7 linked regions of the Callithrix jacchus genome follow. The protein of the gene in region 5 interacts with the protein of the main gene of each other region in a pairwise test. Links are inferred from orthologs where the notes say so. Each region holds a gene or a part of one and is shown on either strand. Other genes may lie near its edges. The genes, in order: LUZP4, FATE1, TRIM42, CREB3, EMD, ABT1 and BYSL.

Region 1 (4,160 bases), about 39 Mb from region 5:
CAGATTTTTTAACAATCACCATTCTAACTGGTGTGAGGTGGTATCTCAATGTGGTTTTGATTTTTATTTCTCTAATAATTAGTGATTATGAGTGTTTTTTCATGTTTGTTGGCCTCATATATGTCTTCTTTTGAAAAGTGTCTGTTCATATCCTTCACCACTTTTGGATGGGGTTATGTGTTTTTTTCTTGTAAATCTGTTACAGTTCTTTGTAGATTCCAGATATTAGCCCTTTGACAGATGGGTAGATTGCAAAAATTTTTTTCCATTCTGTTGGTTGCCGGTTCACTCTAATGATTGTTTCTTTTGCTGTACAGAAGCTCTGGAGTTTAATTAGGTCCCATTTGTCTATTTTGGCTTTTGTTGCCAATGCTTTTGGTGTTTTAGTCATGAAGTCCTTGCCTATGCCTATGTCCTGAATGGTGTTGCCTAGGTTTTCTTCTAGGGTTTTTATGCTGTTATGTCTTATGTTTAAGTCTTTAATCTATCTGGAGTTAATTCTAGTGTAAGGTGTCAGGAAGGGGTCCAGTTTCTGCTTTCTGCACTTGGCTAGCCAGTTTTCCCAATACCATTTATTAAACAGGGAATCCTTTCCCTATTGCTTGTTTTTGTCAGATTTGTCAAAGATCAGATAGTTGTAGATGTGTGGCATTGCCTCCAGGGCCTCTGTTGTGTTCCATTGGTCTATATCTCTGTTTTGGTACCAGTACTATGCTGTTTTGATTACTGTAGCCTTGTAGTATAGTTTGAAATCAGGTAGCATGATGCCTCTGGCTTTGTTCTTCTTGCTTAGGATTGTCTTGGCTAGGCGGACTCTCTTTTGGTTCCATATGAAGTTTAAGGTGGTTTTTTTCCAATTCTGTGAAGAAGGTCATTGGTAGCTTCATGGAGATAGCGTTGAATCTATAAATTACTTTGGACAGTTTGGCCATTTTCATGATATTGATTCTTCCCAACCATGAGCATGGAATGTTTCTCCATCTGTTTGTGTCCTCTCTTATTTCCTTGAGCAGTGGTTTGCAGTTCTCCTTGAAGAGGTCCTTTACATCCTTTGTTAGTTGTATTCCTAAGTATTTTATTCTCTTTGTAGCAATTGTGAATGGGAGTTTGCTCATGATTTGGCTCTCTGTTAGTCTGTTATTGGTGTATAGAAATGCTTGTGGTTTCTGCTTATTGATTTTGTATACTGAGACTGCTGAAGTTACTTATCAGTTTAAAGAGATTTGGGGCTGAGATGATAGGGTCTTTTAAATATGCAATCATGTCTGCAAATAGAGAAAATTTCACTTCCTCTTTTCCTAATTGAATACCCTTTTTTTTTTCTTGCCTCAAGTTGTATCTGTCCCCCATTCTTTAAATTATGCCATGTAAGTGCTCTCTGCCTGAGTACATAAGTACGTGCCTGACTACAAAGTAAAGTCGGATTGCTTCCTCCTAATACAATAATCTAGGTTCCTCACTTCTGTGGTGTCTCCTACTTCCATCACCACTTTCTTACTTTTGTCACTTCCTTTTTCTTCGTTAGTTTTTGATAAAATGCATGTAACTAATTGTCTATCACACTTAATCAGATAGACATTTAATGGTCTATCGCTTTACATTTAATTGCTGATTTGCATTTACTTAGCTGTGAGCTGTGCTATAATGACTCTATTGCTCTGTATTTCTATGACACTGAAATAACATTTAGTAAAATCATTTATTTAGATGATCTTCGCCACCTCCCACCCAGCTATTGCAATGTGGAAGTATTTTGCTTTTGCATAAATGAAGTTACCATAAATCCAACAGGAATTTTTCTTTCTTGTTCCAGCAAACCCTAAGATGTCTGTATTGTTTGACCTTTATTATAATTTAACAAATTCATTATTATTATGTTATCTTCTTTTAGGGTTATCAGTTTTTTGGTATTCTGAAATATGATGAGATAGGATATAGATTATTCATGTGAGACGTTGTAATTTGTTTTTTGCCATTTTATTCCTTTTTTATGTATTTTCTAATACAGATGACATTATACTCTATAAAAAGTTAGAAAAGATAAATGCTGAAATAGAAAAAAGGAATACAAGACAGATTCATAGTAAAAAGGATTTGCCTTCAAGACAACAATCAAATGGTCATGGACATCGCCATCAGAGAGGTAAATATGTTAAAAATGGTCACACATGGTAAAAAGAGTCTGAAATATTTGTGAATAACTAGGTAAGCAAAATCAAGAATTCACATTGTTCTAAAGTTACATTATGTTGCTTGTTTTATTTTTTCTAGGCATGGACCCATACAGGGTTGGTAAGAATTTATGCCATGTCATATGAATAAAAATTTATTTTAATGTATATAAGTTACTTCCCTAATGGAGAATGGGATAAGAAAATTAGCCATACGAGCTGAGAGATATTTTGTACTTGTTTACAAACCTCGGTTGGTTGGTCCAGTTCTACTTTTAGGAGGCAATACAGGAGGGTTAAGAGCATAGTCAATAATCTGAACACTATGGCATCCACATTTTGAAAATACAAATGTTGTAGGACAACAAGAGTAGGGTAGAACATGACAGATGTTCTCTGTATTCCTAACCTCATTGGTAAGTGCAGTATGTATTTTTTTAAATGAATGTGCTACAGATTGCCATAATACAAGGAGTCTTTTGAACAATTAAAGGTCTTCATAGTCTAGTCAATAGATTGAAACCATTTTGACATTGTGATTACTCTAAGCCCCTGATGGTTGCCTATGCAGCTTCATTTAAGTTCTTGTGTAAATCTTCAGTGGCTCATCATGTTCTGAAAAGAGAAGCGATGGTACTTATAATAAGGGCAGAGCAGCCAAGAAGGGTAACATGGCCCATTCTTATGTGCCTAAACAGTCATTGCAAAATTGATCTTCTTCGTGAGCCTTTTGGAGATCTATATTATTTGATGGTTTCTTAAACTGCCTTTATGCCCAAACAAAGCAGACACTTTCTCTCTATCTCTCCTTTTTCTATTGGAGTATTCTTTCAATTAATTTCAGATAGTATGTCCCAACTTTGGTGGCATATAAAACCAAAATTGAGATATATGTACTGAGACTATCCTATTAAGGTGTGCAAATTGAAATAGTATGGCAAAGACTTCTAGAATTCAGTGAGATTACCAGATTATATCAAAGTAATGAAAAATCAAAAGTTTTGCAAAACCCAGTGCATAGCTTTTAAAAAAAAATGAGATCAGAGATAATACTTCTGAAAGATGCATTGAATTTACTACTTGAAAATACAGAAAATGCTTATTGTTCAAAGGCTACTCAAGATTCAGAAGCAACTTTGAGGAAGGAAATCATGATAAAAAACCATCTCAAGAACCTTCTGGATTGAAGTCTGGACAACACCCTTTAAATAGGAAGCCTTTATTTGAGCAGGTAAACAAAAAACAAGAATTTACCAATATAAAAAGTCCTATATTTAATATATTTTTAATATTAATGATTTACTTTAAATTCTATTGAAAGCAAGGATTGTTTCTTGGTATTCCTCCAAGGTACCTTGAACATAATTTAAATTCAATGTTTGGTAGTTGATTTTTCCCCTGCAACTATTTTTTAATTTTTTTTATTATTATTGTACTTTAGGTTCTGGGGTACATGTGCAGATCATGCAGGATTGTTGCATAGGTACACACATGGCAATGTGGTTTGCTGCCTCCATCCCCCCGTCACCTACATCTGGCATTTCTCCCATGTTATTCCTCCCTGACCTCCCCACCCCTCACTGTCCCTACCTTGGCCACCCCTCAATAGACCCCAGTGTGTGATGCTCCCCTTCCTGGGTCCATGTGTTCTCATTGTTCAACACCCGCCTGTTAGTGAGAACATGCGGTGTTTGATTTTCTGTTCTTGTGTCAGTTTGCCGAGAATTATGCTTTCTAGATTCATCCATGTCCCTACAAAGGACACAAACTCTTCATTTTTTATGGCTGCGTACTATTCTGTGATGTATATGTGCCACCTTCTCATTGTCCAGTATATTGTCGCTGGGCATTTGGGTTGGTTCCAGGTCTTTGCTATTGTAAGCAGTGCTGCTGTGAACACACATGTGCATGTGTTTTTTTTTAAATAGAATGATTTATAATCCTTTGGGTATAGACCCAGTAAGGGGATTGCTGGGTCATATGGAATTT
Region 2 (3,992 bases), about 2.2 Mb from region 5:
TTTCCTCCTTTCTTCCACCTCTTCCTCCCACTTGGCCCAGGGACTCTGGGGGAAGAGGAGGCTATTTGGAAAAGGAACCAGGACAGGTTTATAAAGGATTCCTTTTACAAATAGCCTCCTATTACCCCAGGGGCTCTGGGGTTGTTTCCTAAATGAAGGGTTCAGCATTGGTGGTTGTAGCAATCAGGGTTTTCAGAGAAACAGAGCTGATAGGATATATGTATGTATGTATGTATGTATGTATGTATGTATGTATGTATCTACATATGCACAAATATAGAGAAATTTATTTTAAGAAATTGGCTTATGTGACTGTGGGCCTCACAAGTCTGAAATGTACAGGACAGGCCGGCAGGCAGGAGACTCAGGCAAGAGTTGACCCTGCAGTCTTGGGGTTGAAATGCCTCTTCTCTGGAAACCTCAGTCTTTGCTCTTCAGGCCTCTCAGTTGATTGCGTGAGACCCACCCACATCATCGAGGATGAGTCTCTACTTTATTTCAAGTCCACTGGTTGTAGATGCCAATCACAGCTACAAATTGCCTCATCAGCAACACCTACACGGTGTTTGATGGAATCACCAGGGGCAAGTGCCTGGCCCAGGTGACTCATAAACCTGACCATCACAGTGGTCTAGTCAGTAGGTAAGCTGAGGGAGAATTGGAACTTAGAAGGTGCAGGGCCTGAGGCCCTTGGGGTTCTAGTGGCTGCAGTCAGGTCACACCTCTTTCACCCTTCCCTCCTTTGGTTCTCATGGCTCCTGCCTAGGCTGACCGACTTCAGAAAAAGGCTGCCTCCTGTGTTTGGGGACTCTGGATATGGGAGGTAGGATATGCTCTCCAGAGAATCCCTTTTGAAGGCATGGTATGGCCTGGATTGCTAGGACCTAACTCTGCTGTGGCCACTGTGTGGCTCTTGGACCCTGTGCCAATCCTTGCATCTGCCTAGAAATGATGATGGGATCCCCCATGAGCTAAATCTGGAGATCCATGAGCCAGAGCAGTTCTCACAGGCAAAAGCTTGGAGTTGTATCTCTTCTAAGCTGCTTACAGAGTTGCAGGGGAGAACGCCATGGACCCAACCAATTAGATACAATGGGAACAGAAGGTACTCAGTCCAAGGCCTCAGCCTAGAGAGGGAGTGTCACTCCACCCCCAGGTCCTACTATATCTTCCTTGAGCTCCTGTCCCTGGAAGAGGCGATTTTCTGAGTGTGACTCCTCTGTTTCTGGCACCCTGCACATTTTTAGCCATTGCTTACAAGTGAACAGCTGGTTATGATGGCAGGAGGCCCTATCAGCACCAGGGAGGAGGTAGAAATATCCCTGGCTGAAGAACTGAATCATGGAAGCCAAGGGCAAAACCAAGAGCACCTGGGGATAGCAGGTGAGGATCCTCTAAAATACCACTTGGCTATAGCCAACTCTGTAGATACGTGTCTATACCTGTGCATGTGTGTGTTGGAAAAGGTGCATGTGTGCAAGGAAGTGTTTGCACATGTGTGTGTTGGGGAGCTTCGAGGATTTGTGGGTTGATGATAAGGGAGGTAGGGAAAAGGGAGCATTTTTCCTACTGTCTCCCACTTGTCCAAGCCACCACCATGTCTGTTGCAAAATACTCAGAGAGCTCAAATTACAAGATCAGAGATCAATTCTCTCTCCCAATGCTCTAATTCATTTCCCTGCCCTTCAGAGGAAAGTCCAAACTCCACAGTCTATAAGATAGTATCAGCCTCCTCAAAACATTTCATGCTATGATATAGACAGAAAATATCATTTCTATAGCTCACAAAAGGGCCAAGATCACACTGCATTTATGTTTGTTATTACAATGCTGCAAGCGTGCTTATTCCCCAAAGACCTTGCATTTGCTGTTTCTTCTGTCTGGAATGTGCTTTCCCTCAATTTCCCAGGGCTGGGTCCTTTATTTCTTTCAGGTCCCTGCTTCAGTTTTTGTCTCCTACTTTTTAGAGGGAGCCCTTTCCTTCTACTATGTTACCATGTTTTGATCGTTTATGGAGCCTGTGTCTCTCTGTCTGCATTTGCGAGGATAGATTACTTTCTGCTGTACACCTGTCATTCCCCCTTATACACAAACAGATGGTCAGTTCTTTGAGAGCTGGAATCTTGTTCTTGATCATTGCTTTCTAAGTGAATAGAGAGTAACCTAGTCTCGAGCTCAGCCATCAGGAAATGCTTGATTAACTTTTGAACAAATGAACAAACTGAGGCCTGGGATCAGCTGGTGGATAGTGTTGAACGGGTGTTGAGTGATTCCCGAGAAGGCTGTGGCCTCTGCCTTCTTTTATGCTGTGTTTCGTGTCCAAAAAGCCCTGGTATAACTTCTGTGGGTGCTCCTGAGGCCTCTGTTCTTCTCTCTAGAAGTGATGGATCATAGATCTCGGTCCCTCAGTGTCCCCCAGAAGAGGCAGAAGGTGGAATCAAAAGCTGCAGGCTCTGCTGAAGCCAAACCAGTTTGGAATATGACTGCCACCCGGCCCAAGAAAATGGTACTGTATGGGGTCCTCAGCATAAGGTGGCCAGGTTGGGATTGGGAGTACTGTTTGTAGGGGCTCTTGCCTCACCAGGTCAGTCAGGGCTAGACATTGACTTGGGAGGAAGAGAAAGCTCCTGTGTTCCGAGCTGGCAAATGAGGAAAGGAAGGTCCAGTTAAAGGTCACGGTCATCCTTTCCTATACTAGAGGTTCAACCTTGGGAGTTCGGAATTCTTGAAACAAATATTGCTTAGGGAGTAAATAAATACTTTACTTTGTAAATCTATTGCGTGAAATAATGCTTTCCTGTATTTAAAATTATGTGTGTGGTACACGTGTGTGTATACACACAATAAGTCAGGTGAGGCTCCTATCCTTTCTGGCTGTTAAGAAATCCAGTCAAGTGGCCTGGCATGGTGACTCATGCCTGTAATCCCAGCACTCTGAGAGGAGGAGATGGGCAGATCACTTGAGGCCAGGAGTTCGAGACCAGTCTGGCCAGTATGGTGAAACCCCCATCTCTATTAAAAATAAAAAAATTAGCTGGGCATGGTGGCACATGCCTGTAATCCCAGCTACTCAGGAGGCTGAGGCATGAGAATCGCTTGAACTCAGGAGGCAGAGGTTGCAATGAGCCAAAATCATGCTACTGCACTCCAGCCTGGGCAACAGAGAGAGACTCTGTAAAAAGAAAGAAGGGGGTGGGGGAGAGAGAGAGAGAGAGAAGAAGCAAGGAAGAAAGGAAGAAATCCAGTGAAGTGAATCTGACAATTTTGTAGCCAATGCTTTTAAGCTACATTCAATATGGGTGAAGAAATATTCTAGAACAAATAGTGGCTATACTGCTGCAAATGATATTGAGAAAAACAGTCATTTTGGAGGGAGAGGGAATTCTGACTCTTCTGGAGAATTAGGTGAGTTCCACAGTTCTGTAGCCAATCCTTTTAGCTAGCTACATTCACTGTGGGTAAGGGAAAGTTTTAGAAAAATTGATATGCTGTTGCAAAGGCTGCTGGGAAAAGGCAACAGGATTGGAGAGGGAGGGAGGACTGACTGCTCCAGGAAATAATGTGAGTCCCACGGTTCTGTGGCCAATTCTTTAAGCTACATTCACTGTGGATGTTGAATGTTCTAGAAAGATGCTGGCCACATTGTCGCAAAGGATACTGAAAAAGGCATTTATTTTGGAGAGAAGGGAGACCTGACTGCTTTAGGGAATCACAAATCCCATCTTTCTGTAGCCAATGCTTTTCACCACATTCAGGTTGGTGAGGAAAAATTAATAAAATTTTAGAAAATGGTGGTTTTTACTGTTACCACAGAAAAGTTTGGAAGTTACTGGGAAAGGGAGGGAGACTTGATTGCTGAAATGATTTGTTGGATGGCCCCAGGGAAGATTGAGAAAAAAGGCTTCCAGGTTTAAAGATTTCCTGGGAATAAAAATAGGTCAGATGTTGATCTGGCTTCCTGTGTCCAAAGACAGAAGCCAAATCAAGCTGCC
Region 3 (3,500 bases), on a different chromosome or scaffold from region 5:
TGATTGCCAGGAAGGTCACTTTCAGCACCCACAGCTTTGGCAACCAGCAGATCTATCAGCGAAGCTCCTCCTTGCTGTCCTTCAGCAACACTGACGAGAAGGCCAAGGTGGGTCTGGAGGCCTGTGGGAGAGCCCAGTCATCCACCCCTGCTAAACCCACAGATGGCCTCTACACCTACTGGAGTGCCGCACCAGATAGTCAGTCTGTACAAAACAGCAGCAGCTTCCACAACTGGTACTTATTCAATGGTGGCTCTGTGAAGACCCCGGGCCCAATTGTTATCTACCAGACTCTGGTGTACCCAAGAGCTGCCAAGGTAAGAAAGGTTCTGGGCCCAGTGGGGAAGGTGGGAGGGTGTGGGGCACAGAGTGGAAGTGAGCAGTCAGGAAAGGTTGCGCTTACCTACCTGCCTCTAGAGTCTGGTCACTCAGATCTGCTCCTCTGGACTCTTTGTGATTAGTCCATTCAAAAGGGATAAGTTCCTGAAATCTTAAGTAATGCAAGATTTGCTTAAACCAAACAGTCAATACATTTAACTCATAGTTGGAAATATATCTGAAAGCCCTATCTCCACTGCAAAGGCAGTTTCTCAACTGAAAGAGAACCCAATCTAGGAACCAAAGTAATCTGAAGAGACTACTCGGCAGTGTAATGTTTCCCAGAGGAAAGCCTGTAATAGAGACAGCACAGAAATTGGAGTTAGAAATGCAGGTTCCATTACTTATCAGCTGTTTCCTCTAAATTGCTACCTTTCCTAAAGAAAATATCCAGACTCTCTATGATTTGGAAAAATAGGGAGGATCATCCCCAGTGAAATTTCAGCTCTTCTAAGTCAACCTCCCTTTGAGGGACAGAGTGAAGAGTAGGGTCTCTCACAGACCTCTATAAGTTCCATTGCCTGGCCTCAAGGGACATGACTTCCCTTTGACCCTCTTGACCTAACATGGACAAATGGCCTTTTCTTTGACATACCTTTCAAATCTAGCTGAACCCACATTGAATTGTTTATAGAACACTTTATTGAAGTTTATAGAGGAAAAAAGAATAACATTCCACTAAATATTCTATCAGAGTGCCTCCTGTCTCCTCTTGGATTTTTTCTAGAGTCAGCCCATGGCCTGCTCCCATGTGGCAGAGCCCATCTTTTGTCTCCCATAATCTGAGAACATTCCCAAAGACTTTTAAATCCTTGAGTTCTAAACTAGCAGTTCTCAAGCACAGATGTGCACCTGGGGATCTTGTTAAAATGCAGATTCTATTTCAGTAGGTTTCAATGGGGCCTGAGATTCTGTTTCTCACAAACTTCCAGGTGTCGCCAATGCTGCTGTCTACAGACCACACATTAGTGTCAAAGATCTAAAAAATGAAGGCCAGACACAGACCAGGCTTTACTTTTCCATTCTCCTGAGACATCATAATCCACGTTTTGTTATCTATAATTGACACAAAGAACAACCCATAATTTGCAAGGTAGAACATTTCATGGGTTATCAGGACATGATGAAGTATTTCTGCCCTTCACATAAGCAATGCCCATAACTGAGCAGCTGAATTGCATTTCCAAATGATACTAGATCAGCAAGGCCCGTAGTATATGCTCATTGCCTCAGGGATAGCACTAGGTCTCATCTCCTTGGCAACTCGGGCCTCTTGAGAAGTTGGCAGATCTTGCTCTGGAGCCAGAGGATTGGTGGTGTCTGCTCTACACTTGGGCATGGAAAATAGTCACCCCATGCCACCTATTAATCATCCCTGATGAGCTCAAGAAAGGGACCTACACAAAACAACTCAGTCAAGTCATTTGTGGTCAAAAGAGGACACCTAAACCTACTGCCAGATGGTGATATTTGATTTTAAAATATCATTGAACCATATTTTAGAATAACAGAATGGACTTCCTACAGGAATCATAGTGCTCAGCAATGCAGAAAATTAAGTCTATGTTAATATCACTCTCAAATCTTTAGGATGTTAGCATAGAAAACATTCTAAAACTTAGTCTTGTAACTTATCAATATGTATTGTTGAAATCCTAGAGATTTTTTAAAACTCAATTTTAGTTCTAGAAATCTCTTCCAAGAAAATGATTGAAAACTCAAACAAATATTCATGCCTAACAGTGTTTATTGCAACATTTATTATTAGAGTAAAATTAGAAACAACCTAAATGTTCAACTATAGAAGGATTAAATTATTTTGGTAGAAATTTTAAAGATGGTAGTTAACTGAATTTTTAATGATTTAGGAAAACATACAACATAAGTAAAAGAAAACAGAAATCAAAGCAACATAATCCGAGTTTTATATATATGTTTCTGTATCTTTGTGTGTGTTCTGAAATTGCAAAGAAATAATGACTTAACTGAATTGTGAGTTTATGAGTGATGTTTATTTTCTTCCCCTATATTTTTCTGTATTTTTCAAGCAGGAAGACAATTGTCACCTCCATGCTGACTGACAGAACATAAATCTTCTGCTTGTGAAACTCATTATAAGTCTTATGCCAGGCCTCAACACACAGCCTTCCAAGACTTATGCATGGTCTAATTAAAAGTCCTCAGCAGCTACAGGGGATGGGGTCAGCTTAAACTTACCCTACAGATAGTCAACACCACAAATCTTTAAGGGAATGAAAGCTGAATGGTGAATACTAGTACCACACCCGTATGTTCATTTCTTTCATAGGTTTACTGGACATGTCCAACAGAAGATGTGGACTCTTTTGAGATGGAATTCTATGAAGTCATTACTTCTCCTCCTAACAATGTACAAATGGAGCTCTGTGGACAAATTCGGGACATAATGCAGCAGAATCTGGAGCTGCACAACCTGACCCCCAACACAGAATATGTGTTTAAAGTTAGAGCCATCAATGATAATGGTCCTGGGCAATGGAGTGATATCTGCAAGGTACTGTGTACATTATTTCTCAAACAGATTTTCCTTTCTATGATAAGTTCTGAATGAGGCCCTGTTAAGATGATCCTGAGATTACAGAACTCACCATGGATTCTTCCTCTAAGCACATAACATTTAACTTGAGGCCAGAGAGAGGGCTGCTGGCCTCAACCAGACTTTGCAGATGAGGCCTGAGAATTGTTCTATTTGATTCAAAAAATTTGTTCTAAGCATTGGGTAGAAATGTAGAGAGTCAGAGGAAAATAAACATAATCCCTGCCTTCAAGGTACTCGGGGTCTAGAAAACAAATAATTGTTGTGTGAGAAGAACATGAAATAATTGTGGTATGAAAAAGACAAAAATGAGGTGCTATTCCCAGTCAAGGATGGGGTGCCAAATTTAACAACTAAAAATACAGCATGCCCAGTTAGATTTGAATTTCTGGCACACAATAATTTTTATATAAATATGTCCAGTACAGTATTTAGGACCTATTTATTCTTAAAAAAAAATTGTTCATCTGAAAGTCAAGAGACAGCCACCAAGCAGGCCATTGTGGTTTCCAAAAAAGAAAGGACAAAACTATTGCTATCCTTTTTG
Region 4 (4,028 bases), on a different chromosome or scaffold from region 5:
AGCAAAGACCCATATTCAATCCCTGAACCCTAACACTGATCTACGTTTTACCTTTAGCACCAAATCCCCTGATGTTAACCCTAAATGTTGACCCCAAAGCCTAAAGTTCATTTGTAAACTGATTCCTAACTCACCCTTTCACTGTTTATTCTTAATAGTGAGCATGCCAACGTTCTTTAATCCCCCAAACAGATTTCTAACCTGATTCCTGTTGTTGACCCTTAACCCGATCCTGAACTCAAATTATGACGAATGCTGGCCATGCCAGTAAACAAAATAATGACCTTAATCTAAACCTTACCTATCCAAAACGGACCTGACTCACACTGACTCAAGTTTTAACTCCAGCTTTTAACTCCTACAGCGACCCCTCATTCCTAAACCGATCCCACCTAATCTGCAACTCACCCAAAGCTTTCCTACCCACATGCCCGCTATCAGCTAACACCAAAGCCCGTCCCCGCCCTGCGCCCCGCTGCCACCCGACTCCTCACGCTCCCCAACGCCTATCCCAGGCAGAGGACTGCTCCGAGGAAAGGTCTGTCTCCCCTAAGACGGCCTACTTCACGCCAAGCCCAGGTCGAGATGCGCTGGACCCTGACCTCTCCTACTAATAGGACCCGAACCGGACACGAAGGAGAGGCAGGGCCCCGCCTGCCCGCCACCAGGGCCAGGTTCCGCGGCCCCACCCTAAGGCCCCCGCCCGGCCCAGCCCGGTCCGGTCCAACCTACCTGCGCTGCCTGGCTCTGCGCCCTGCCCGCCGGCCCGCAGCCCTGAGGCTTCTCGGGTCGCCCTCTGGCTCCGGCCTCGCCTTCCCTTCGACACTCCCTCGGCCACTTCCGTCCCAGGAACGTCCCCCACCCGCGGGCGGCGCCCTGGGCTCGCGCTCTATGGTCGTGGGGCCGGCAGGAAGCTGCTCTGGCCCCGGTCTCGATGCTCAGGAGCCGCCGAAGCCCGGCAGCCACTCCCCGGCAGGAAGCGAGGGTACGGCGCAATGCTGAGACGACGCCCGGATGACGCCTGAGCTTCCTTTTAGGCCTGAACTCTTAATTTTTCCAGCCTGGGGGAGAAGGCGGAGCCGGAGCCCCGGAGCCTCCGCCCTCGGGGTGCGAGGCGACGGCAGGGCCGTCCCCTGTATTTGCATAGCCCTTGGGACGTGGCGCGGCACCCAGGCCGCCTTCCAGTTGGAGAGAACTCCAAGTCCCAGAATGCCACGGGGCCGGGTGCGTCACTTTCGCTGTGTTGGAGGCTGAGGAGAATTGAGCCTGGGAGGTGGGTCCGGAGAGGGCTACGGATAGCCCCGGCGGGGAAGCCCGGCCGTAGAGGGGCGGTGGAAAAGTGCCAAAGGCCGACAGCTGATCTGGGACTCGTGTCTGGGCTTCGGACGTTGGGGCCCCGTGGCCCACCCTTTACGTAGATGTCTCAAATGGAGCTAGAATTGGATCCTGGTGACGAAGACCTGCTGGGCTTCCTGCTAGAGGCAAGTGGAGATTTGGGGACGGCGCACGAGGCCATCAGGGCCCCACTGGACTGGGAGCTGCTGCTTTCTGAGGTGGGTTGGGATTGCGACTGGGGAAAGCGTGGGATGTCCATGAGGTCAGGTGATGGTTATAGGTCAAGGCCTGTTCATTGGAACCCTGCGCAGGTACCGAGTGACTGGGAGTTAGATGATTTGCTGAGCTCACTGCTGAGTCCCCCAGCATCGTTGAACGTTCTCAGCTCCTCCAACCCCTGCCTTGTCCACCACGACCACACCTACTCCCTCCCACAGGAAGCTGTCTCTGTTGATCTAGGTGAGTCTGAAGTAAGTTTGCTGGGAGGAGAGGATTCATGGGCCTGGCTATTCATACTTTCCCTTTTGCAGAGAGTGAGAGCTTTGGAAAAGAGGAGACCCAGATGACTACACAGCATGTGGAGGAAATGGCAGAGCAGGTACTTGACTTGATTTTCAGGAAGATTACTCTCACATTCCCCAGGTGGGGCAGGATTCCCCATTCCTCTCTGACATCCCCATGCAACTGCTGCCCACTTTCTTGTTACCCTAGGAGACTGTTAGGTTGGTACTGACAGATGAGGAGAAGAGTCTATTGGAGAAGGAGGGGCTTATTCTGCCTGAGACACTTCCTCTCACTAAGGTAAGACTCTCATTGGTTGAGCAAAGGCTGAAAGGGAGTAAGAGTCCCAAGTAGGCCAGTTTTGTTAACTTTATATCAATAACTTTAAAAAAGGATTGAGTTGAGAAAATTAGCAGATTTGTTGCTAATAAGAAGTTGGGGCAGGTACCTAATGTGCTAGATGCAAGGGCAGATACTCGTATTTGTTGGGCTTACTTATACAAATTTTGGTGTTCTGCCTAAAAAAAAAATCATCAATGTAACTTAGTATTGGGCCTTGGAAAGGACTGTGTAAGTGAAGGGCCTTGACACTTCATTGGCTTGATAGTAGTCTACCTCTTGCTGAATGGTAAAAATGTTTAGAGTTCAACAGGGGTGGACTAAGCAGGACATGAATAAATGTAAAATCCTGAGTTTTAAGTTTTAAGCAATGAGCAGCAACTTCACAAGCAGAGTACTGTGATACTATGATGAAATCAGTGCTCATTAATAAAAAGGTTACAGGAATTTTTTCTTTTTGACAGGGTCTTGCTCTGTTGCCCAGGCTGAAGTACAGTGGTGTGATCATGGCTAACTGCAGCTTTGACTTTCTGGGCTTAGGTGATTCTCCCACCTCAGCCTCCCAAGTAGCTGAGACTACAGGTGCATACTACCCTGCTCAGCAAAATCTTTTCTGGTATTTTTAGTAGAGATGGAGTTTTACCTTGTTGCCAGGCTGGTCTTGAACTCCTGGGCTCAAGTGATCTACCCACCTGGAGCTACCAAAGTGCAGAATTTTAATTTCTTCAAAGTACAAGATGAATCGGCAGTGTGATGTGGCTACTAGGAAAGTGAATGGAATTTGGAGACTGTAGCAATAGAGTTATTGCCTCTATAAGTGACTCTCTTGCTTTCCTTTATACTGGGTAGAGCACATCTTAATGTCCAATTTTGAGACCATCTTTGACAGATATTAAGAGGATGCAGGCTATCCTAAGATGATGTTAAAAATTTTGTGTAAGTTTTTTTTTCTTTTTTTTAAGCTCTGAGGAAATGTTAAGTGCCTTAAAATAGCTAACACAGTTCATTCTATTTGGCCCCAGAAATACTAGGTAAGTCTAATGGATAGAAATTATAAGGAGGCAGCTGTTGGTTCAGGATAAGAAAGTTTTGTTTAAAGACAGGTTCTTTCTTTATTGCCCAGGTTGGAGTATAGTGGCAAGATCATGGCTCACTACAGCTTTGACCTCTCAGGCTCAAGCCATCCTCCTGCCTCAGCCTCCTGAGTAGTGGGACCACAGGTGTGTGCTACCACACCCAGCTAATTTTTTATTTTTAGTAGAGACAAGATTTCAATATGTTGTTCAGGCTGGTCTCAAACTCCTGGGCTCAAGCAGTCCTCCTGCCTTAGCTCCCTAAGGTATTGGGATTACAGGCATAAGCCACGTTGGCTGCATATTGCCTGACCAATTTTTTTTTTTAATTGTTTAAAATGGTCTGGCTTGTTAGGGTTAACACCTGGTCCGTGGAGGCATTCAGAAAGAAACTGAATGCCTATTGGTCAGAGAAGCTGTAGAAGAGATTTCTGCATTGGAAAGAGATTGATCTCAGTTGCCTTTCAACTCCTTGGTCTAGAGTCCCTCTCATGGTATCCCTTTCCCTGTTTGCTTTCAGATGGAGGAACAAATTCTGAAACGTGTGCGAAGGAAGATTCGAAATAAAAGATCTGCTCAAGAGAGCCGCAGGAAGAAGAAGGTGTATGTTGGGGGTTTAGAGAGCAGGTATGAAAGGGAGAGAGACTCAGTTGTTAGATTTTTGAAGGGAGGATACAGGTCATATACCCATATCTTTATTTCCCCCAGGGTCTTGAAATACACAGCCCAGAATATGGAGCTTCAGAACAAAGTACAGCTTCTGGAGGAACAGAATTTGTA
Region 5 (4,183 bases):
TGAGACAGGAGAATCACTTGAACCTGGGAGGTGGAGGCTACAGAGACTCAAGATTGCGGCTCTGCACTCCAGCTTGGGTGACAGAGCGAGACTCTCTCAAAAAAAAAAAAAAAAAAAAAAAAAAAGAATATCACCTCTTCTCCATTCTCCGTAGGGCAGCCCTTATCTGATCAAGGTCCTGGGAATCCTAGCCACAGTCCAGGCTCCTGAGCAGGCCTTGGCAGCCCTTCCATAGCTCGACACCCACGTCTGCCCCCTGCCGGGCTATGCTGGGCTCAGGGGCCATTCCGACAGAAGAGGAAGCCCCACTTCAGCTCCCGCCAGTGCCCCGGGTGAATGAACGACATGAAGCGTTAGGCTGGACACACGTCATCTCTGCACACATCGCACAGCGCCCTCTGTCCGCGCTCACTGGCGTGCTCGCTGGCTTGCCCGGGCCCCTTCGAAGGCTGCTTGCTCCTGGAGTGCCGGCGGCCTCCTGGCCCAGTGCCCCATTTCCTCCCGGGTGGAGCGAGGTAGGAGAAAAGGAAGGAGGGAGGCGGTGGGAAGCAGCGAGCATATGTGCACGGGCGACAGCCCTGCAGACTGGGAAGGTGGGCCCGTGGCAGGGGGTCTGCGAGGACCGCGTAGGCGCGGGCCTTGCCCCACAGCCGCTTCCCAGGTGATGCGCACACAAAGCTCCCTCAGTAGTGCCTAGCCCGGGGCCGGCGCTCCCTTAGGGTTCAGACCCTTCCCGCCGCTGCTGGGGCGGCCGACCCGGATGCGGCCGGGGAATCCTACGCCCTGGGGCCACGGGAAAGGGGACCAGGGCGTAGAGAAGGGATGTGCTGGGACGGTGGGGAGCCCAAGTGACTTAGGGACCAGAGCCACCGCTAGCGCCCACTTAGGCCGCTCTCACTTCCCGGCCGGCAGATGCCGGGTGTTAGACACACAGGCCCCGCCCCTCTCTACCGACTGGCTCACGCACGCCTCAAGGTGACGTCTAGGCTCCCAGCCGCACCGCCCAGACTCCCGTGCGGGCCCCACCCCCAACAGCTCCGGGCGTTAGTGACGTACGGACTCGCGACCCCGCTCGCTCCCACCGCGACACCTTCTGCTCCGCTCCCGCGCGGGCCCCGCCCCCTCCATCGCTAGCCAATCCGTGTGTTTGTGACGTTGGGCTTGCGGCCCCGCCCACTCCCACCGCGAGACTGATTCCCACTGTCCTGACTCTCGGCGCGGGCCCCGCCCCGTCCGCCGCTAGCCAATCCGTGCGTTTATGACGTTTGGACTCACTGCCCCAGCCTCCCAGCTCCCAAGGCCCGGCCGTTCTGCGCCTGCTGCTCCCGCCGTTAAGCCCCTCCCCGCACAGCGCGCGCAGCCTGCGGAGCCCGAGGCCGTGACGAGACAGTGATTTGGCTGTGACGCGAGCGCGATCGCTCCCGAGGCGCTCGTGCCGCCCCCGCCGTGATCCTCGGCAGCCGCTGCTCGGCGGGTTTTGGCAGGGGCCCGGCTTCCGCCCGCGCCCGCACCCGCCATGGACGACTACGCGGGTCTTTCGGATACCGAGCTGGCCGCCGTGCTGCGCCAGTACAACATACCTCACGGGCCAGTTGTCGGTACGCGGCGGCGGGCAGGACCTGCCCCCGGGCCCCCTCCCCGCGCTCTGCCCCGCGCCCTCCCCGCCACCCTACCCGCGCGCCTTCCCCGGCTTGTGGCCCTGACCGCCTCGTGTCCGGCCAGGGTCTACTCGTAAGCTTTACGAGAAGAAGATCTTCGAGTACGAGACCCAGAGGCGGCGGCTCTCGCCCCCCAGCTCGTCCGCCGCCTCCTTCTCCTATCGCTTCTCTGGTGAGAGCCTCGCTTGTGGGGACCGGGCCTGGGATGCGGGGAGATCGGGGTCGCGAGGGTGTGGCAGGGGCGCCGGTCGAGAGCGGCACCGGGGAGAGGGGAGGGAAGCCTGGGGGGCAAACAGTTCTGTCGCCTCCCTTCAATCCAGACTTGAATTCGCCGTCAGTGGATTCAGATATGTATGATCTTCCCAAGAAAGAGGACGCCTTACTCTACCAGAGCAAGGGTAAGGCAGGGGTGGGGTGGGCACGCTGGCACGTTCACCTGACTGCGTCAGGGACCCCGCTCACAGGGAGGACCTGAGACCTCAGCCCCAACCACTCCAGCAGCCTTAGGAGGGAGAAACTGTCACAGGTCCCGAAAGAGATTCAGATTAGGGCCAGCAGGCCAGGTGGGGCACACCGATGCCCCCTCTGCTACCGCTGCCCCCCTTCCCAAGGCTACAATGACGACTACTATGAAGAGAGCTACTTAACTACCAGGACTTATGGGGAGCCCGACTCTGCGGGCCAGTCCAGGGGCTTCCGCCAGTCTGCGACTTCACTCCCAGATGCTGACACTTTCCACCACCAGGTGAGCTGGCTGGCAGGTGCCCTGTACTTGAGTACAATCTAGGGGATGGCGGCTGTGTTTGGATAAATCCAGGGGGCCACTGGATACAAATGGTGGCTTCTGTGCTTCTGGGGAGACTGGCTCAGCAGACGCCTGTTTGGCCAGGTCCCTACTTTGGGGAGCCATCAGAACTGTGACTAGAGCACCCTGGTCTGCAATCTAGGCTCAAGCTTTTCCTGAGACTCCTGGGGGCAAAAGGGAATAGCAGGGCATGAGCACAAGTGACAAGACCCCACAAACAAAAGACTGAACACCAAGAGCCATTCGGGAGGGTGTGGGTCCCTGGCCTCTAACCAAAGGTCAGAGGGCACCAGCTGGGGAAGTTTGGACTGAGGGATGTGGCAGGGCCATGGTGGCCCTGCCAGTCGGTCCACTCACCCTGACTCTCTTCTGCAGGTGCGTGATGACAATCTTTTGTCTTCTGAAGAGGAGTGCAAGGATAGGTACGTAGAGGGCAGGCCCAGGAACAGGGACTGGTTCTGCACCCAGGCTCCTGGCCCACCTGCTCCCCTCTTTTGCCTCAGGGAACGTCCCATGTACGGCCGGGACAGTGCCTACCAGAGCATCGCGCACTACCGCCCTGTTTCAGCCTCCAGGAGCTCCCTGGGCCTATCCTATTATCCTACCTCCTCCTCCACCTCTTCTGTGTCCTCATCTTCATCTTCCCCTTCATGGCTTACCCGCCGAGCCATCCGGCCAGAAAAGCATGCTCCTGGGGCTGGGCTTGGCCATGATCGCCAGGTCCCGCTCTGGGGCCAGCTGCTGCTTTTCCTGGTCTTTGCGATCTTCCTCTTCTTTGTTTACTACTTCATGCAGGCGGAGGAAGGCAACCCCTTCTGGAGGGAGCCCTGAGGGTCTGGGCTTCAGAGCCAGCTCTTCTGGGGAAGTCCTGGCTGATGGCCTTAGCAGTGAGGGTGGGGGTGGGGGTGGGGGTGGGGGCTTTTGTGTGTGTTCTCGCTTGGGGGGCGCTGGCCCAGCCCAGAGTAGTGCTTGCTCCCCTGCCTTGTCCCACCAGGGAGGCAGCAGACTCAAGCCCTCCATGATCTGGGGGACCTGGGTGTGCTTTCCTCTCTAGCCTCCTGGCCCTGCTTGCCTGTAACCCTTAGGGTCCAGGAGGGCAAGGCCTCGCTCCATCAGAGAACATGGTTATTGTTGTTGTCATGCATGCCTCCTTTTAGTTGTCATCTTGAGGGGATTAACCAAAGGCCACCATGACTTTGTTTTCGTGGACACACAATAAAAACCCCATTTATTTTTAATGTGTTGACTCTTCCTGGAGGAGAGGGTTGGGTTCCCATGGCAAGGGCATCTGGCCTTGCTGGGTCTGCATTTTGGCTTTGGTCTGGGGATAGGAATCAATTGCTACCCAGAAATGTTTGTGTTTTGTTTGGGAGTTTTATTCCCTGACTCATTCCCCAAAGCACGTGTAACTGCTTATACATATAATTGTGGTACAACAAGGTATATACAGAGAACCCACTTGGAAATTCAGGCAAAGCTGCATGCACGCCACCAGCAGTCTGCGGGTGTTTTAACTGGAAAAAGCTGAAGTCCACCCGATTGTCCAAAGGCATGGGGACAGAAAGAAGATGAGGCGTCTCATTGGCAGATCATCCTTGGCTCCTGGAACTGCTGCTTGTTTACCATGGGAGAAAAGCTCCAAAGGCCGCATCATCCCTGGGTGGTAGAATTCACCTGCCTATATTCTCACTTAACTCCCAGATTTTCTGCCCTGGGTATG
Region 6 (3,926 bases), on a different chromosome or scaffold from region 5:
CTGATGGGGAATCTGTGAGGACAGACCCAGGGCGGGCAGAACTAAGCGACCCGGGAGTCACCAGAATTGGAGTCGTGTGTGCCTCTGACATGTATTTGCAGCTTAAATATGCATGTGGATAATGTATCAAGACACACGTGTCATAGATGCCAAGCAAATGGTTCAAATAATTGTCGCATATTTACATTTTTAAACATTCACAAATCAAATTTAAAATATTAGACTAAAAGCAACTTAAATTTTCAAAAATTAAATCTAATTAAATTTCCAAAATTAAACTGTTTTCAAAATTTAAATTTTAAAATATGCAAAATTCCAAAGTAAATTTCCAGAAATAATTTATTTGAGTTTAGTTTTTGAGACAGGGTCTTGCTCTGTCGCCTAGGCTGGAGTGCAGTGGCGCGATCTTGGCTCAGTAAAACCTCCGCCTCCCGCGTTCAAGCGATTCTCCTGCTTCAACTCCCCGAGTAGCTGGGACTCCAGGCTCGCGCCTCTATGACCGGCTAAATTTTGTATTTTTAGTAGGGACAGGGTTTCACTATGTTGGCCAGGCTAGTCTCGAACTCTTGACCTCGTCATCCGCCCGCCTTGGCTTCCCAAAGTGCTGGGATTACAGGCATGAGCCACACCGCTCCCGGCCTTCCAGAAAGAATTAAAACTTCAAAACTCAAATTTTTAAAATGAAATTTATCAACTTTAAGACAGTCGTTCCTCAGCTGTAAACGCACCCGGGGCCCTTGAATAAAATGCTATTTTGATTGCTAGAACACATAGTACCTTCCCTACAATTGTTCTGCAAAACTCTCCAAAAAGCCAGTATCAACCTGACTTTTACCATCTCAACAAGGCGTTCTACACGGTAGGTTATATTTGGGGATCTGCCTTTTCTGCTTCTGCCTGTCCTGAATTGGAGACCTGACCGGGAATCCGTGAGCCTAACCCGAGCGTTCTATCCCGCTCCCACGCTCAAATCAGGCTTCCGACCCGATACCCTACTTCCGCCCTCTCCCCGGATCCGCCTGCCTAGCCCAATCTTGTCATTTGCCATTAACGCCTCGGCCCCGCCCCCTTGTGTCAGGCCGTCGCACGCGTTTTGCGTCGGTTGGCAAGGCACTTTACGGCTGTCGTGCTGTTCGTGTCGGTCAACATGGAGGGAGAGGAATCCGAGAAGGCCGCAACGGAACAAGAGCCGCTGGAAGGGACGGACCAGGCAGTAGACGCGGAGGAGGAGCAGGAGGAATACGAAGAAGTGGCTTGTGGCAGCAAGAAGCGGGTAGTGCCAGGTATCGTGTACCTGGGACATATCCCGCCGCGCTTCCGGCCCCTGCACGTCCGCAACCTTCTCAGTGCCTACGGCGAGGTGGGACGCGTTTTCTTTCAGGCTGAGGGTAAGTGTGCAGACCCTGGCGGTGAAAGGAGGAGGTGGTCGCGCGCTGGCGGGGGGCAAGCATGCATGTCCTCTTGGTTCGCTGCGCAGGGCTGAGGCGCGAGCTGCTGGATTTGGGCGGTGGGCAGTGCGGTGCTCAGCTCCCGGCTGGTGACGGTGCTGGGGTGGGCGCGCCGTGGGGATCTGGGAGAGTAGGTAGCGCAGTGTGTCTGGTGCTTCTTTAGTTCTCGGATTGTCACTGTTTGCGTTCTTACTCCGGTTCTGCTCACCTCTCCCCGGACCTGTTCACTGGTTTGTTACATGAGTACAACCCGAGTAAAAGCCTGCTCAGCTCTTCTACAAAACTGAACACACACCTTTGGCATCGCGACCTTGGTCAAGAAACGATTTGGTCAATCGCCCCTCGTCTTTTCACCCCCTTGCAGGCACTGCTTGAGGTTGGGGACTTGTGCAGGTTTTAAATAGCGTTCGGGGCAGGCCAGATTAAGGAGTGGACATTTGAGGAAAGACTTGAGTTAGAGGAAAGGGCGTGACTTAAGAGTTCCCTCCATCCGGCGGAAACTCTCAGGTGGGACTCCCGCTGGCAGATGCGAAGAACAATATGGGCAGTGGGAGGTTTGGTTTTGGGGGAACGCGGCCTAGGCATCCTCGACAGGGCTTTGCCTTTGGGTCGCAGACAGGTTCGTGAGACGCAAGAAGAAGGCAGCAGCAGCCGCGGGAGGAAAGAAGCGGTCCTACAGCAAGGACTACACCGAGGGATGGGTGGAGTTCCGCGACAAGCGCGTAGCCAAGCGCGTGGCAGCCAGTCTACACAACACGCCTATGGGTGCCCGCAGGCGCAGCCCCTTCCGTTATGACCTATGGAACCTCAAGGTGAGGAGCTAGATCTTTCTGCCACACCTCTCACCCTCCCTTCTCCGCAGCCCTGGTCCAAGTATCCCCATGGCCTTTCGTTGGCCTTGAGCCTCCCCCACTTTTCTCTCTCATCTGCTCTATCCTGATCTTTTCTGATTTTCTGCCCACAGTACTTGCACCGTTTCACCTGGTCCCACCTCAGCGAGCACCTTGCCTTTGAGCGCCAGGTGCGCAGGCAGCGCCTGAGAGCGGAGGTTGCTCAGGCCAAGCGTGAGACCGACTTCTATCTTCAAAGTGTAGAACGGGGACAACGCTTTCTTGCTGCTGATGGGGACCCTGCCCGCCCAGATGGCTCCTGGACATTTGCCCAGCGTCCTACTGAGCAGGAACTGAGGGCCCGGAAAGCAGCACGGCCAGGGGGCCGTGAACGGGCTCGCCTGGCAACTGTCCAGGACAAGGCCCGCTCCAACAAAGGGCTCCTGGCCAGGATCTTTGGAGCCCCGCTACCCTCAGAGAGCATGAATGGAACGTCCCTGGTCAGGGACTCCTGAGGGCCAGGGGGACTCCTGAGGGCCAGGGAGACCCCTTCCAGCTCCTGGCCCTGCTCTACTTCCTGTCTACCTCATACTAGAAGGATTGTGACTACCCAGGCAGACATTTTATTGTGTTTTTCAGACCAAATGTCTCTGGTCAGGGCCCAAACGTGGAAGTTTTGTGGGCTTATACTGTTCCCTCTCCAAACTCATGCCTGGGTGAGTCACCTAATTCATACTGTCATACTAACATGATTTGACTGCTGCATATGCTTGTTTTGTTTGACTCTTGACTGCCTGCCCCCAGGAAGGGCCTTTATTTCCAACAAGGGGGATAATGCCTAGTCCAGGCAATCTTTTTGTTTAGCAGTCACAGGTGAGGGTGGTATTGGCATCTTTTTTATGTAGAAAAAATTGACAGTTAATGGGGTAGACTGGGTTGGGAAGAAATACAGTTCTTCCAAATGTGTTTATAGAAAATAAAAATATTTTTATGTGCCTTTTTATTTTTATTAGGGGGCATTGGACAGATTTCAACTTTGATTTTGTGTTCCCTTCACCTTCATTCCATCTCCTGATCTTAGAGCACCCCCCCACCACCATCCACCTTGCCATTTCATCTGGGTTTTTTTTTTCTGTTTAGTTTCTGTCTACTTAATATCTTAGCCCAGTTTATCAGTCAGTTAAGTCAGCATTTTGTAAGCCATTGTTTGAGGAGGAAACAGTGACAGTAGATAATAACACATGGCCCTTGGCATTAAGAGTCTTCAGGCCACTAGTAGAAGACAGATAGGCATCGTGGTAGATGCATATAAGGGATGGAGTGGGGGCCATGGCAGGTCATAGAGTGCTCTCAGTGGGAACCTAATTGATGATCACAGTCTCCAGAGGTGAGTCAGTCCTCACCAACTTTTCCAGGTCATTCCTAGAAAGTAAACTGCAAAATAATAAAGCAGAAATCTGAAAGAGTATGATGTGCTCCCACAATTGCAAACAGTGCTTCCTGGGTGGAGTGTTGGGTTGGAACCACTGAAAAGGTGGGCAAAGCCTAGTAGAGAACCAGTGCACCTCAGGTTATATATGGTGGGGCTGCGACAAGAGAGGATTCACACGTGGGCAAAGTAGCCCTGTAGTCTTCAAAGAATCAGTGT
Region 7 (3,997 bases), on a different chromosome or scaffold from region 5:
AAGAGAAACTAAAAAACTTTGTTCTTATACAGCTTACATTCTAACTGGAGGAGACAGTCTATGACCATACCACCCTGAACGCACTGATCTCATCTAATTGGAAGAGACAGACATAAATAAATGTATAAATATATTGGGTTAAAAGATAACTATTATGGGCAAGGCGCGATGGCTCATGCCTGTAATCCTAGCACTTTGGGAGGCCAAGGTGGCTGGATCACCTGAGGTCAGTAGTTTGAGACCAGGCTGGCCAACACGGCAAAACCCTATCTCTACTAAAAATACAAAAAAAGAAAAAAAATTTGCTGGGTGTGGTGTTGGGTGCCTGTAATCCCAGATACTTGGGAGGCAGAGGCAGGAGAATTGCTTGAACCTGGGAGGTGGAGGTTGCAGTGAGCCAAGATCTTGCCATTGAATTCCAGCCTGGGCAACTGAGTGAGACTCTGTCTCAAAACAAAACAAAACACAATGATGCCTATATAGATCGAGTGGAATGGGCAAAGGAGAAAGCAGTAGAAGAGGTCAGACTGGCAAGGAGGCAGATGGTATAGGGATTGTAGACCCCCGTACCCCAGCTGTTGAGTGTTCTGAAGAGTACGAGATACAGCAGGGCATGGTAGTTCACACCTGTAATCCCAGCGCTTTGGGAGGCCAAGGCAGGGAGGATCGCCTGAGTTTGAGACCAACCTGGGCAACACTATGGGACCTCATCTCTACAGATAATTAAAGCATTAGCGGCTAGGCGTGGTGGCTTATGCCTGTAATCCCAACACTTTGGGAGGCTGAAGTGGGCAGATCACCTGAGGTCAGGAGTTCAAGACCAGTCTGGCCAACATGGTAAAACCCCATCTCTACTAAAAATACAAAAATTAGCTGGACGGGGTGGCTCACACCTGTAACCTCAACTACTCAGGAGGCTGAGGCAGGAGAATTGCTTGAATCTGGGTGGCAGAGGTTGCAGGGAGCCGAGATCACACCACTCCAGCCTACGTGACAGAGTGACTGTCTAAAAAAAAAGAATTAGGTGGATACATGGTGGCATACACCTGTGGTCCCAGCTCTATGTGGGAGGCTCGGGTGGGAAGATAGCCGGAGCCCAGGAGATTGAGGCTGCGGTGAGCTAAGATTGTGCCACTGCACTCTACCCTGGGAGACAGAGCGAGAGACTCTGTCTAAAAATAAAATAAAAAGGAAAGGAAAGAAAAGAAAAAAAGGAGAATATGAGATACTATCTAGGAGGCTACTGTGATAATCCAGGTGAGTCTGTGATAATCTAATGTGAGAGACTGGTGGCTTGAACAGGATGGTGTTCCAAAGTGGTGAAAAGTGGTCTGATTTTGGATATAACTTGATGGCAGAGTTATCAGAATTTCCTTACAGATCAGATGTGGGGAGGGAGGGAGAGAGAGGAGTCATGTTTATCTTTAGCAAATGAAAGAATATCATGCTACTCACTGAGACAGTGGTGAGAGAAGCAGGTTTGGAGAGAAGGTCAGGATTGGTTTTGTACATGTTAAATTTGAGCTGTTTCAAATTGGAGGTGCCAAATAGGCAGTTGAATATAAGAATCTGGATTTCATGAAAGAGATCAGGGCTAAAATATAAAGTTAGGAGTAGTCACCCAAGAGATGGTATTGAAACCATGAAACCTGACAGCACTAGAGAATATCTGAAGAGAAGAGGTCAGAGGACTGAGGATAAGAGGTTGCAAGTAAGAGTCAGCCAACGATATTGAGAAGTGAGGTGGCAGTGAAACAGCAGTGTTGATGTCTTATAACCCAAGTAAGGATACTGTGGGCAGGAGGCCACTATTCAATTGTGTCAAATATTGCTTTAGATGAGATCTGAGAAGTGGATGAAGCACCTCAGAGGTAAGCACTCCCTCCCTAGTAAGAACCTATCAAACGTCAATTCATTTCTCTCCCTTTTTGTCTGCGAAACGTGTTTTCTGCTCATTACACTTCCCATTCGTTTTTCAGTTCTCAGCTTAAAGGTCCTACAATCGGAGAAGCTTCTCAAGACCAATGCTACTGTCACCAGGGAAACGATATTTTATCATGGAAATATATTATTCTAAGAGTCTACGTAATTGTCTCTCCGCTGGGCTTGACTGTAAGGTCCTTAAATCAGACGTGTCTGTATGTTGTTACTTCTGTACTCAAATATTCGATTGAACTTCGAGCATAGCGCAAAGCTCGTAGTAGGTTTTCCATAAATATTTACAAAACCAATGGATAAATGCTAAGAACACTTAGTGGCGCGAGCGATTACTTCCTATTGGCCTAACTTCGGGGGTGCCTAGAAGGGAGTGCCTAAAACTAGGAGTGGGCGCGGAGGTCTCTGGCCATTGCTTAGTCTCCCATTCCATTACTTTTGCAAGTCCCCTGCCGGACACTTTTTAGCTGTCCTCCCCCCCGCCCCCGGCCCCGCTGCTAGCCATTGTCTTGTTCGGACCTCATCCCAGACACTCACCCAGCCGCGTGGTGCGTTCCTGCGGCGCCGCGGGCTTGTCCCCAGTCCCATGCTCGGCCTCGAGCTCCTCCTGTTGCTGCCGTGCTTGCTGCAAAATCCGTCGGCTCAGCCGAGGCCCCACATACTCTTCCTCCTCTTCTCCGGTGCCACGACCCCGCCGCTTCTCCCGGACCCCTGCCCGCAACGCATTCCCAGCTAGGATCTGCTCAGCCAGGGGCGCATGTTTTTCCTGACCCCCGGCCCCACGGGTGGCCTTGAACTTGGGCATTTTTCTTGAAAATACTGCCGGGAAGGTTCGCACGTGGGGACGACGAAAAGGCCAGAATACACTTGGGTGAACTCCCACCTCCCAAGAGGCCACGCTGCGATCACAGCGCCCTCTAGCTATCGGAGGCCAGAAGCGCTATCAGCACCGCCCCTCCCACTAAAAGAGCTCCTGGGTTCCGGAGCTGGACTCCCAAATACATTTACTTCCTTTAACGTTGGCGTCTCTCAATAGTGCAGTCTAAGTCTCGTTCTTCTAGCTTCATGGATCTAAGCCTAGAGTGCTCAGCCAACCGGGAATTTCCGGAGCTAGAAACATGAGAGCGGGAATCCACTGATTATGTCACTGGAGGCGTCACCGACGGGTGCCAAGACACGCCCCATTCCTTGGGGAAGGCGTGGACCCGGCGCTCTGTTTTTACGTATTTCCGGAATCCCTTCTGCGACCGAAGCCTGTGTTGGGGAACTGAAGCAGTTCCTGTGGGCGGACTGGGAACGACGCATTTCTACTGTGTGATCCTGCCACCTTCCTGTCCCGACACCATGGGAGTGACTTGGTAGGACTGCAGGGGTTTTGTGGGGCGGGATTTGGAGTTGTGAAGGGCCGGGAAGAGGTCCTTGACCATGGCCCGCCGTCCTCTGGGAGCTGAGCGAAATGTCCTCGGGTTATCTGGATAAGAGGATACCGTGCGGGCCGCGGGTTCCCTGGGCCTTTTTCCTCGGAGATGCGCTCTTACCTCTTGGAAGGCGGCAGAGCAAAGGTTTTATACCAGGGACCTATCAATGGTTATGTACCTTCTTCCCTTATGGGTACATCTTCCTTCCCGTGAGGCCATAGTACTGTCTGCACTTGGACCTCAAGGTTGGAAATAGGGACTTTGGATTAGGACCTACCTGCAGACAGGGTTGGAGGGAGTAGGTTAAAAGCGATCAGGAGACAGTATTTTTTTTTTTTTTTTTTGAGATTTTCGCCTACCCTTGTCTCAGCCATCAAATGCAGTTAGACCAGCTGGTGTCTGTTTGTAATTTGCCCATTTTAAGATCTTGGGTCTAGAGGAAAAAAGAGGCTATTGATAAGAAGGAGATCGTGGTTCCAGGCACTCTTTAGGACCTGCTTCTCACTATGTTTAATTCCATGGTTGGTCTAGTTTCAATGGAGTTTTTATCTTTCATATGTTTTAAGTCTCAGTTGGAAGATGAGGTGGCAGGGAAAGGTACAACGCTCGCGGAGGCATTAGTTGTAAGGTACTAGGTCCCAGAC

What was found.
Region 1: the proteins of EMD (region 5) and LUZP4 interact in binary tests that used the Homo sapiens proteins (3 or more experiments, as listed by UniProt). The two-hybrid records come from large-scale screens. The link is inferred for Callithrix jacchus from reciprocal best matches to the Homo sapiens genes EMD and LUZP4.
Region 2: the proteins of EMD (region 5) and FATE1 interact in binary tests that used the Homo sapiens proteins (3 or more experiments, as listed by UniProt). The two-hybrid records come from large-scale screens. The link is inferred for Callithrix jacchus from reciprocal best matches to the Homo sapiens genes EMD and FATE1.
Region 3: the proteins of EMD (region 5) and TRIM42 interact in binary tests that used the Homo sapiens proteins (3 or more experiments, as listed by UniProt). The two-hybrid records come from large-scale screens. The link is inferred for Callithrix jacchus from reciprocal best matches to the Homo sapiens genes EMD and TRIM42.
Region 4: the proteins of EMD (region 5) and CREB3 interact in binary tests that used the Homo sapiens proteins (3 or more experiments, as listed by UniProt). The two-hybrid records come from large-scale screens. The link is inferred for Callithrix jacchus from reciprocal best matches to the Homo sapiens genes EMD and CREB3.
Region 6: the proteins of EMD (region 5) and ABT1 interact in binary tests that used the Homo sapiens proteins (3 or more experiments, as listed by UniProt). The two-hybrid records come from large-scale screens. The link is inferred for Callithrix jacchus from reciprocal best matches to the Homo sapiens genes EMD and ABT1.
Region 7: the proteins of EMD (region 5) and BYSL interact in binary tests that used the Homo sapiens proteins (3 or more experiments, as listed by UniProt). The two-hybrid records come from large-scale screens. The link is inferred for Callithrix jacchus from reciprocal best matches to the Homo sapiens genes EMD and BYSL.

What each region holds. Positions count from the first base shown.
Region 1 is NC_133524.1:111,522,060-111,526,219, forward strand, and holds the start of LUZP4 (leucine zipper protein 4), read left to right. Parts: upstream 1-1,360; coding exon 1,361-1,367; intron 1,368-2,008; coding exon 2,009-2,143; intron 2,144-3,283; coding exon 3,284-3,402; intron 3,403-4,160. UniProt on the Homo sapiens protein: Export adapter involved in mRNA nuclear export in cancer cells. Binds and enhances the RNA-binding activity of the nuclear RNA export factor NXF1. Can restore mRNA export function in cells compromised by loss of mRNA export adapters.
Region 2 is NC_133524.1:148,013,588-148,017,579, forward strand, and holds the start of FATE1 (fetal and adult testis-expressed transcript protein), read left to right. Parts: upstream 1-1,192; 5' UTR 1,193-1,274; coding exon 1,275-1,383; intron 1,384-2,378; coding exon 2,379-2,506; intron 2,507-3,992. UniProt on the Homo sapiens protein: Involved in the regulation of endoplasmic reticulum (ER)-mitochondria coupling. Negatively regulates the ER-mitochondria distance and Ca(2+) transfer from ER to mitochondria possibly implicating it in the regulation of apoptosis.
Region 3 is NC_133518.1:43,734,248-43,737,747, reverse strand, and holds part of TRIM42 (tripartite motif-containing protein 42), read left to right. Parts: coding exon 1-317; intron 318-2,686; coding exon 2,687-2,911; intron 2,912-3,500.
Region 4 is NC_133502.1:142,636,979-142,641,006, forward strand, and holds the start of CREB3 (cyclic AMP-responsive element-binding protein 3), read left to right. Parts: upstream 1-1,228; 5' UTR 1,229-1,418; coding exon 1,419-1,553; intron 1,554-1,646; coding exon 1,647-1,794; intron 1,795-1,865; coding exon 1,866-1,933; intron 1,934-2,046; coding exon 2,047-2,136; intron 2,137-3,768; coding exon 3,769-3,875; intron 3,876-3,956; coding exon 3,957-4,025; intron 4,026-4,028. UniProt on the Homo sapiens protein: Endoplasmic reticulum (ER)-bound sequence-specific transcription factor that directly binds DNA and activates transcription. Plays a role in the unfolded protein response (UPR), promoting cell survival versus ER stress-induced apoptotic cell death.
Region 5 is NC_133524.1:150,171,711-150,175,893, forward strand, and holds EMD (emerin), read left to right. Parts: upstream 1-1,383; 5' UTR 1,384-1,516; coding exon 1,517-1,598; intron 1,599-1,722; coding exon 1,723-1,830; intron 1,831-1,978; coding exon 1,979-2,056; intron 2,057-2,269; coding exon 2,270-2,403; intron 2,404-2,838; coding exon 2,839-2,885; intron 2,886-2,966; coding exon 2,967-3,294; 3' UTR 3,295-3,701; downstream 3,702-4,183. UniProt on the Homo sapiens protein: Stabilizes and promotes the formation of a nuclear actin cortical network. Stimulates actin polymerization in vitro by binding and stabilizing the pointed end of growing filaments. Inhibits beta-catenin activity by preventing its accumulation in the nucleus.
Region 6 is NC_133505.1:4,274,677-4,278,602, reverse strand, and holds the start of ABT1 (activator of basal transcription 1), read left to right. Parts: upstream 1-1,126; 5' UTR 1,127-1,147; coding exon 1,148-1,388; intron 1,389-2,063; coding exon 2,064-2,260; intron 2,261-2,412; coding exon 2,413-2,793; 3' UTR 2,794-3,926.
Region 7 is NC_133505.1:50,424,053-50,428,049, reverse strand, and holds the start of BYSL (bystin), read right to left. Parts: upstream 2,801-3,997; 5' UTR 2,741-2,800; coding exon 2,473-2,740; intron 1-2,472. UniProt on the Homo sapiens protein: Required for processing of 20S pre-rRNA precursor and biogenesis of 40S ribosomal subunits. May be required for trophinin-dependent regulation of cell adhesion during implantation of human embryos.